2 linked regions of the Macaca fascicularis genome follow. Each later gene encodes a partner of the first gene's protein in a complex. Links are inferred from orthologs where the notes say so. Each region holds a gene or a part of one and is shown in the gene's direction. Other genes may lie near its edges. The genes, in order: SLC9A3 and CHP1.

Region 1 (4,339 bases):
CATCCGCACCCACCTACCGCCCACCTGCCCTCCGTCCACCTATCATCCATCCACTCAGCCACTATCTTGCGAGTGCTATTGTGTGCCCAGCTCTCTTCTAAGCTCAGGGGATGCATGCGTGAGCCCCTTGCTCGTGGAGCAGACATTCCCAGGGTGAGGGCAGACAGCTCAAGGTCAAAGCCAGCAGCCCCCAGGGCTGAGAGGTGAGCTGAGCCCCGGCTGAGTAAGCAGGGGATGCGGGAACTCAGCAGCCACAGTTGTGAGCTGAGTGGGTGGGGGGTGGGACAAGAAGGTGGCATTGGAGCCAAGCCCCTGGGGAGCCGAGGAAGGGAGCAGGCAAGAGCTGTCCAAGCAGAGGGAGCAGGGTGTGCAAAGGCCGATTGCTAGTGTGGGCTGTGGCGTGCATGGGGGTGGGTGTTAGGCAGTGGCTGGGGTCAGAGCTCCTGGGGGAAGTTGAGCCTTTCCTCTGAGAGGGAGGGTCCCAATAGGAGGGACTGAAGGGGCAGGCAAAGGGCCCAGCAGGAGGCTTTGCAAGTGGCTGCAGGCAGGCTCTGAGAAGCTGCTGGTTTTGTGCGAATTTTGAAGGTAGAGCACATATGCTAAGAGCTTGGAAACCCCTGGTGAGCGAAAGAAGTCCGCGTGCCTCCCAGGTCTGGGGCTGGAAGGCTGCAGGGTGGGCTTGGAGGAAAACAGGGGTGTGGTTTGCATAGTGGAGTCTGAGATGCTTAAGGGAGCCAGTGCTGCCAGAGTGGGCTGTGGGCAGAGGCCCCGCATCAGTGTGAAGCCCTGGGGGTATCGAAGTGTTTTGGGTGGAGGTCAGAAGGCAGGGGCCGGGGCGTGGAGGCCACAGAGCCTGGGGTGGGGGATGCGGCCGGCGAGGGGAGGGGCAGAGAGACTTCCCAGCGCACCACGCCAGGTCTGGGCGTCCCCGGTTTCTGGTAAGTGGCCGGTCCGGCTGCGGAATGCAGGTTCCTGCTGAAGACACAGCGAGACGTGAGGCCCGGGGGCCCCGTGCACCCTCGGGCCGCCCTGTGAGGTCTGCGCAGCCCCAGGGCCCGCGTTTATGAAGGATTGGGGCGAGCGCACCCGCAGCTGCCCGGGCACCCCACGAGCTGAGCGGACGCCGAGAAGCGCGGGGAACCGCCTGTCCCGCCGCCCCGCGCTGTGCTCCCCTCGCCCCCAGCCCCAGGGAGGCGGTCGCGCAGTCCCGGGCTCGCTCTTGCCGCGACCTCCCGGACCTCCAGGCCGCAGGCTCCGGGGAAGGGTGGGGACTGGGGAGCGCCGGGTGGGCGTGCGCGGGCGGGGCGGGCGTGCCGGGAGCTGCTGCGGTGTCCGCGCTCGCGAGTGCGCGGCGGGGGCGGGCAGGCTCCGCCCCGGGGCGGGAGGGGGCCGCGGGATTAAAGGCCACCCCGGCGGGCGGGGATCGGACTGTCGCAGGCACCGGCACCGGAGCGCGCCGGGTCTTCGCCGGGTCCCAGCCCCGCGCGACGGCCGAGCCCAGCCGGGACCCCCCGCGACATGCGCGTCCCAGCCCCGCACTAAGCAGGCGGCGATGTGGGGACTCGGGTCCCGGGGCCCCGGCCGGGGACTGCTGCTGGCGCTGGCGCTGGGAGGGCTGGCGCGGGCCGGGGGCGTGGAGGTGGAGCCCGGCGACGCGCACGGCGAGAGCGGGGGCTTCCAGGTGGTCACCTTCAAGTGGGCCCACGTGCAGGATCCCTACGTCATCGCGCTCTGGATCCTCGTGGCCAGCGTGGCCAAGATCGGTAGGTGGCCCCGGGGTCTCCGGGTCTGCCCGCGGGGTCTGCGGCCGCCTCTGCCGGGTCTGGGGGCTTCGTTGTGGCCGCGCCCATCAGGTCGGAGCCGGGCGGCCGCGGCTCGGGAGAGTCTGGCTCTCCGGTCCAGCAGAGCGAGACTCGGGAGCGACTCTGGCCGCGCTAAGCCGCCCCTGCGGGTCCCGAGGGTCTCCCCTACCCGGCGGGGGCACAGCCTCGGAGCCCCTGGCTCGCGGCTCCCGGGTCCCTGTGGGGTCTCCGTCCGGCCTCCGCTCCGAGCCCCGCAGACTGTAGGCTGCTCGCGCCCGAGGAGTCCCTGGGGCCGGGTTTCCTTGGGGGTACTCAATCTTTTTAGAGAAACGTCCTTGGAGTGATGGCGCTTTTTCGTGCGTTACAAGGGCAGAAAGGAAAAGCGGTGCCACCCGCATGAAACCCAGCAGAATCCTCCCTACCGGCGCAGCGTTCCCATTGGCGGGCCTCCTTTTTTTTTTTTTTTTTGGAAAATCCCGGTCGGTCAGATTTCTCTTCTCCTTAACTTGCGCCAATGAACCAGTAATGTGGGCACGGCAGGTAGCTCCTGGCAAGGTGACAGGAAGGTCAGCTTCCTGAGGAGCTCGTGGGGATCAAAGTTTCATGTGTTGGCCCACAGGGGAGGGTCTCTCCAGGGGTGGCGGAGAGGTGGTCACTTGTGTAGAGGGGGGATTAGGGGACACGAGTGGGGCCAGGAGAAGCAAGATCAGAGCAGCAGGCGCCGCCGCAGGTTTCCAGAGCGGCTTTGGACTGGGGCGGGGTGGGCAGGGGGCGGCGGTTTGGATGCTGGGGCCGAGGAGGGGCGCCCACGCAGGACAGGGGAAGGACAGGCTTCGGGGAGAACAGCTGAGAGAACCTTGGCCTTGGTGGAACCTGGTACGCCCAGCAGGCTTGATTGGAGAAGGTGCCTTTTCCTTCAGTGACGCCTGCCGCCTGCCCTATTTATGCCAGGGTCTCCCCTCCCCTCCAGGCCCCTTGAGTGTTTGCTTTCTGTCTCGTAAGTGCTCTTCTGAGCCCTCCCGCGCCCTCCCTTCTCTGCAGCCTCCTCGCTTCTCTGCAGCCTCCTCCCTTCTCTGCAGCCTCCTCCCTTCTCTGCAGCCTCCTCCCTTCTCTGCAGCCTCCTCCCTTCTCTGCAGCCTCCTCCCTTCTCTGCAGCCTCCTCGCTTCTCTGCAGCCTCCTCCCTTCTCACCCCGGTGTCTTTCAGCTCCCGGCCTGGGCTGCCTGCTCTCCGGGCTCACGCTGGCCTCGCTGTGCTTTCCACTGGGGGCTTGCGATGCTGGCCGTGGGGGAGTCTCTGAGGCTGGCTGCCTCCTACAGGTGATTTCCTTGAGAAGGTCCCCTGGGGCATCAGGGAGGTCCAGCCTCAACCTGGGCTCTGCGGTCGCCCAGTCCTAAAGCTCACCCTGCTTTCCTCTGACGGGCGTGTCCCGCTGGTGTAAACTGAATAGGTAATTTCTTTTATTTCTTTTCTTTTTTGAGACGGGGTTTCATTCTTGTTGCCCAGGCTGGAGTGCAATGACGCGATCTCGGCTCACTGCAGCCTCCACCTCCTGCCACAGCCTCTCTGGGATTACAGGCATGTGCCACCAAGCCCGGCTAATTTGTATTTTTAGTAGAGACAGGGTTTCTCCATGTTGGTCAGGCTGGTCTTGAACTCCAGACCTCAGGTGATCCACCCGCCTCGGCCTCCCAAAGTGCTGGGATGACAGGCGTGAGCCACCACGCCTGGTCCTGAATATGTAATTTCTGTACAAGCTGGGGCCTCTCCCAGTTCAGCCCCGTGTACAGAGTCAGAATCTGGCATCTGAAGGTCCGAAGACAGCCACCAGGCACCAGCCAGCCCCGCCTGGGAGCCCGCAGGGAGGGCACACTGACCGGGGCTTTGCCTGGCCTCAGAGTTTGTTATTCACCAGGAAAAGCCTTCGGGTCTCCCAGACACTTGGACTGGTTCTGGAAAGACGTCCTTGAGGGCAAGGAGCTGCCGGCTCCAGCAGCAAGTCCCGGGGGCAGGGCGGTCCCAGAATGCATCTCCTGGGGAGCTGGCCCTTTACGAAGGCCCACCCTGATAGCACCGAGTGAGCGGCTGTCTTTGTCCCGGGGTTGTTGGCCCCACCTGGGAAGGCAAGAGCCTCGCCCCGCGCAGCTGTGAGAGCTCATCGAAGCATCCCACCGGCACAGACCTCTCCAGACCTTCCCTCTACACTCGCTGTCATCCCCTCAACCCACTGTCCACGCTGCAGCCCCGGCAGTGACAGCTGAGGTCTGCCCTGGGTCTGCCCTGATTGGCCCCCAGGCTGTCCCACCCTCCATCCCCTCTCTGCCAGCCACACCTCTTGAATGCAGCCCCTGGCCCTCCCTGTGTGCTTCCTCCCCCAACCCCTCCCCTGTGAACTCTGGACTTCTCAGATTCTGCTGGCCCAGACCGTCCTCCTTGTGCAGCCAGCCTCAGGTGCATGACCTGTGTTCCCAGCGGACCCTCACATCCAGGCCTTCACAGACGCCGGGGCCTGAGCCTGCACCACAGCGGGACTTCTCC
Region 2 (4,436 bases), on another chromosome or scaffold:
CAACAAACAAAACAAAACTGTAGTTCTTCAAACTAGAACCTCAGCCTGCAGGGAACGTGTGGGGCCTCAGGCTAAGCTGTAAAGCCTTAGGAACACTTAAAACTAATAACCTAAGTTGACCTGGGAAAGCTTGCTAAGACAAAAATACCCTGGTACTTAGGTTCTAACAGACAGCGGTCAGAATTCAGTTCTTCCATATCTTATACGGGTTCTAACCAAACAGGTGTGAAGGGGTAAGGCCGGTGAAGCAGTAAGAACTGGTTCACCTGAGAGTAGGCACTAATTTAATGGGTGGCTTTTTACTTTTTTTTTTTTTTTTTTTGAGACGGAGTCTCGCTCTGTCACCCAGGCAATGCCGCGATCTTGGCTCACTGCAACCTCCGCCTCCCGGGTTCAGGCAATTCTCCTGCCTCAGCCTCAGTAGCTGGGATTACAGGCATGCGCCACCACGCCCGACTAATTTTATATTTTTAGTAGAGACGAAGTTTCTCCATATTGGTCAGGCTGGTCTCGAACTCCTGACCTCAGGTGATCAGCCCGCCTCGACCTCCCAAAATGCTGGGATTACAGGCGTGAGCCACCGTGTCCGGCCTACCTTTTTAATCAAAACAAACAATACACCATGAGAATAAAATGCAAAATTTCTCATTTTTAAGACAAAGTAAGGAACTTCAAATAAATGGCGGACCATAAGCTAGGAATTCACTGTCCTCCATCGTTAGGGCTTTTTCCTCCGAAGCAAGTTTGGGAAATCTGGATCCTAATTTCAGCCAAGTGGTGAATTCCTCGAACTTCAGTCTAGAACTAAAAGAAGAGGGGGGCTGCAATGAAGGAAAAAGTCTCGGGACGCTCCACGCCACCCGGCGGCGGTTATCAAATCACAGCCTGAAAACAACCTGGAGAAAGGTCCGCGACGCCGGGCACCCACGCTGCAGAGGGGACGCCCGCCCGGCCCAACGTCCAGTCTCGTCTGTTTCCCAAGGAGCCAATCAGCACGCGGCCCCGAGGCTGGCTCCCCAGCGCCCCCTGCGGCCGGGAGGAGGACGGCCGCCAGGAAAGATACAGAGCGCATGCAGTCCCCGAGGGGCACACCCTAGGGTTCCCCCCACGCGAAGTTTCTCTCCGCAATCCGTGCCACCTATCGAGTAGGATTCCTAGTGTTCGATTTCTGTGAGAAAAGGTAGGCTACGCTGCCTGCCGCAGGTTAGTTTGTTGTAAAACGGTTGGTCAATGGAATTGCCCTTTTAATTGCGTCGTTAGCGCCCGAGTGGCATCGCCCCTTTAAGGCCGGTGGCAGCTGCGGTTCCGGGGGCGGGGTCCATCTTCAGCAGGACTTGGGCTGGAGCTGGGCTGATTCATTCGGGGCTGGAACTCGAACGCTGACGTCGACTCCTGAGCCGGGCGCTGCCTCGCGCCTGATTGGCGGGTCCTCGGGGCCGCCCTCCCCAGCGCACCACCCCTGGGTTCCCTCCTGGGTCCGCAGTGGAAACACTGCCCTCTCCCTTCTTGACCCCTAGCCCGCCCTTCCCTCCCTCCTTCCCTCCTGTCGCCCTCTTTTCTGGCGCCGCTGCTCCCGGAGGAGCTCCCGGCACGGCGATGGGTTCTCGGGCCTCCACGTTACTGCGGGACGAAGAGCTCGAGGAGATCAAGAAGGAGACCGGCTGTGAGTTCGGGTTGGGGGTGGGAACGCCGGGCGCCTCAGACTGGCCTCGCAACCGAGGGCGGCTGTCGCTAAGGTCTGGAGCTCGGGTGCCTGTGAGGTTGGGGGGGTCCTGGGCAGCCTCCAGGTTTCGGGACCGAGAGCTGGAAGACCTGTTCTTCCAGCTGCAGCTTCCTGGAGCGGGGCTGTAGCTACTGTGGGGGTGTCCTTCCCTTCAACATCGGGAGTCTTGATAACTCTTAGAGCGTCGACGCCCCCTTTTTCTGCCCCTTGCCCATCAAAGTCCCCGAACTCCTTTCCTTTCTGTTGCCTAGCACCACCCTTCCCTATGAAGAGGCATCCTGAACAGTAGGTAAAGCCCGAGAAGCAAATTCAGGAACTCGAGATGGATTCTATAGAAAATCCATTTCTGGGCAAGGACCTAAAACCTCCGACAACTATGGGAAATTACAAACTATGGGAAATGACAATTCTTGTCACAAATTAGGAAAACCACCCAGAAAGCAAGACCGTGTAGTAAGGCTTTGGGAGACATGACCCGATGCCTGGAGACCTTTCAACAGGGATCTGGGATTGTGAGACTTCTTTCAATCTGAACTTCTAGAGAAAAAACACGGATACTATGAGCACCAGTTTTTTACTTACACGAGGATACTTGCTGGCCTAATTTCATATATATATATATTGATTTCTACTGTGCTGGTGTACTTTTTTATTCGCTATTGAAATTGGATGTGCTTCAAAAATCTCCGTGTGAATTTGTACTAGGAACTGATTTTTTTTTTTTTTTTTAAACGGAGTCTCCCTCTGTCACCCAGGGTGGAGTGCAGTGGTGTGATCTCAGCACACTGCAACCTCTGCCTCCCAGGTTCAAGCGATTCTCTGGCCTCAGCCTCCCGAGTAGCTGGGAGTACAGGCGCCTGCCACCACACTTGGCTAATTTTTGTATTTTTGGTAGAGATGGGGTTTCACCATGTTGGCCAGGCTGGCCTTGAACTCCTGACCTCAAGTGATCCACCCGCCTCGGCCTCCCAAAGTGTTGCGATTACAGGTGTGAGCCACCCTGCCCTGCAGAACTGATTTTTTTTTTTTTTTTTTTTAAATAGTCCAGTCTCTTCCTCATTAGCCTGCACAAAGGAGCAAAAGGACTCTGGGGATTCTGAAGCTCTGTAAAATACCAGCATACCTTTGAATAGTCCTTGATAATGCAATGTATGATACAATTGTATTGATGCATACAATATTTTATCTTTTCAGTAAACCTTTACGATTCTTGTTGAGTTAATGAATGATGTAGCACCTGAGCTCTGTCTCTTCATCATACCTGTCTTTGATAATGAGATGACCAGTAACTCACTCAGGGGCCCATATGCAGATAGTACCGAGGAGTGCTATGGACAACTACAGAATTACTCAGGCCTAGAATATGTTAAGTGCTGTTCTCTGCTTTGTGACAAGTTCAACTTTCTAGAGTTTTCAAGTTGGAAGGGATGTTATCTAGCCCCACCCCTTGCTGGATTGGTTTGCCCCTTTCAGCCTCCCCTAAAATATGGCCCTTAAGCCTCTCTGTAAAGACCTTTGATAGTGATAACCTCTCCACCTACCAAGGCAGTTCTTTTCACAATTTTGAATGACCCAAAGTAGTTATCTCTTTATAATTTGCAGTACTTGTTTGGCCACTGACTTACTCTGACCCTAGGAGTGGAGATACAAGCAGTTTGGATTCAGCAAGCATTTTATTACATTTTGTGGCCATAGCTTCTGGCCACATTTGTAATTAGAACTACTTTAGGTCTAGGGTGACACCGAATTAAAGTATTTGTGTTAAAGAGTCACATGGAGAAATAAGCAAAATGAAAGAGAAATAAATACAGAGTCACTTAACAAGAAAGTGTAAACCATAGTGAGGATGCAAAAAGCCATTTTTGCTTCAGAATGAAGGGAGCGGTAATCCCATTCTGGTTTACATACATTTGACCAAATGGAAAGGGCCTGGATGGGATATTTTTACCATGTGGCTTGTGGAGAGACAACTGAGTGCTCATGGAAAAGCTGTTTTTCCCATTTCTCTCCACAACCAGTGCAAATGTATGTATTGAGCCAGAATGCTTAGTGAAACAAGTGCTTACTGAATTTTTACAGTGTCTGTTCAGTACTGTGCTAGGTACTGAGAGCAGATGGTGACAAAAAAACGCCCACAACCTGGTTGGGGAGATAAGCCCAAGAGAGTTATGATTAGCATCATGACATAAGAAAGCTGAAATTGTGTGTCACCCACCTTCAGAAATCAGGGAAGAGAGCGTCCCTGTGGGCTGTCCTCGTGGAGGATGGGAATTGGGCCTTGATACATGGATGAATGGAGTAATAGATTAACCTAGGGCATTTTGGGTGACTTCCAGGAGAGATACCCCCAAGCCTGCTACAAAGTCATTCCTCTGTGCTGGGAACCATCAGTTTATCCAAATAGTGTCCATCATCAGAGTTGTTTTTTCTTTTTCTTTTTCTTTTTTTTTTTTTTGAGACGGAGTCTGTCTCTGTCGCCCAGGCTGGAGTGCAGTGGCCGGATCTCAGCTCACTGCAAGCTCCGCCTCCCAGGTTTACGCCATTCTCCTGCCTCAGCCTCCCGAGTAGCTGGGACTACAGGCGCCCGCCACCTCGCCCGGCTAGTTTTTTGTATTTTTTTAGTAGAGACGGGGTTTCACCGTGTTAGCCAGGATGGTCTCGATCTCCTGACCTCGTGATCCGCCTGTCTCGGCCTCCCAAAGTGCTGGGATTA

The links.
Region 2: the proteins of SLC9A3 (region 1) and CHP1 are in contact, whole or in part, in a cryo-EM structure (PDB 7X2U), measured with the Homo sapiens proteins. The link is inferred for Macaca fascicularis from reciprocal best matches to the Homo sapiens genes SLC9A3 and CHP1. Residues at the interface, in NP_004165.2 of Homo sapiens: Tyr396, Arg397, Met398, Gln400, Glu402, Arg474, Leu475, Asn476, Glu477, Leu479, His480, Gly481, Arg482, Ala483, Phe484, Asp485, His486, Ile487, Leu488, Ser489, Ala490, Ile491, Glu492, Asp493, Ile494, Ser495, Gly496, Gln497, Asn501, Arg504; in NP_009167.1 of Homo sapiens: Arg30, Leu31, Arg34, Leu38, Lys40, Glu49, Phe51, Gln52, Arg53, Ile54, Glu56, Leu57, Ala58, Ile59, Asn60, Pro61, Leu62, Asp64, Ile66, Phe70, Phe83, Leu87, Phe90, Leu115, Phe117, Ala118, Leu121, Tyr122, Leu135, Leu139.

The regions. Positions count from the first base shown.
Region 1 is NC_088380.1:827,593-831,931, reverse strand, and holds the start of SLC9A3 (sodium/hydrogen exchanger 3), read left to right. Parts: upstream 1-1,425; 5' UTR 1,426-1,552; coding exon 1,553-1,763; intron 1,764-3,922; exon of another isoform or gene 3,923-4,063; intron 4,064-4,209; exon of another isoform or gene 4,210-4,339. UniProt on the Homo sapiens protein: Plasma membrane Na(+)/H(+) antiporter. Exchanges intracellular H(+) ions for extracellular Na(+) in 1:1 stoichiometry, playing a key role in salt and fluid absorption and pH homeostasis.
Region 2 is NC_088381.1:17,780,659-17,785,094, forward strand, and holds the start of CHP1 (calcineurin B homologous protein 1), read left to right. Parts: upstream 1-1,450; 5' UTR 1,451-1,596; coding exon 1,597-1,663; intron 1,664-4,436. UniProt on the Homo sapiens protein: Calcium-binding protein involved in different processes such as regulation of vesicular trafficking, plasma membrane Na(+)/H(+) exchanger and gene transcription. Involved in the constitutive exocytic membrane traffic.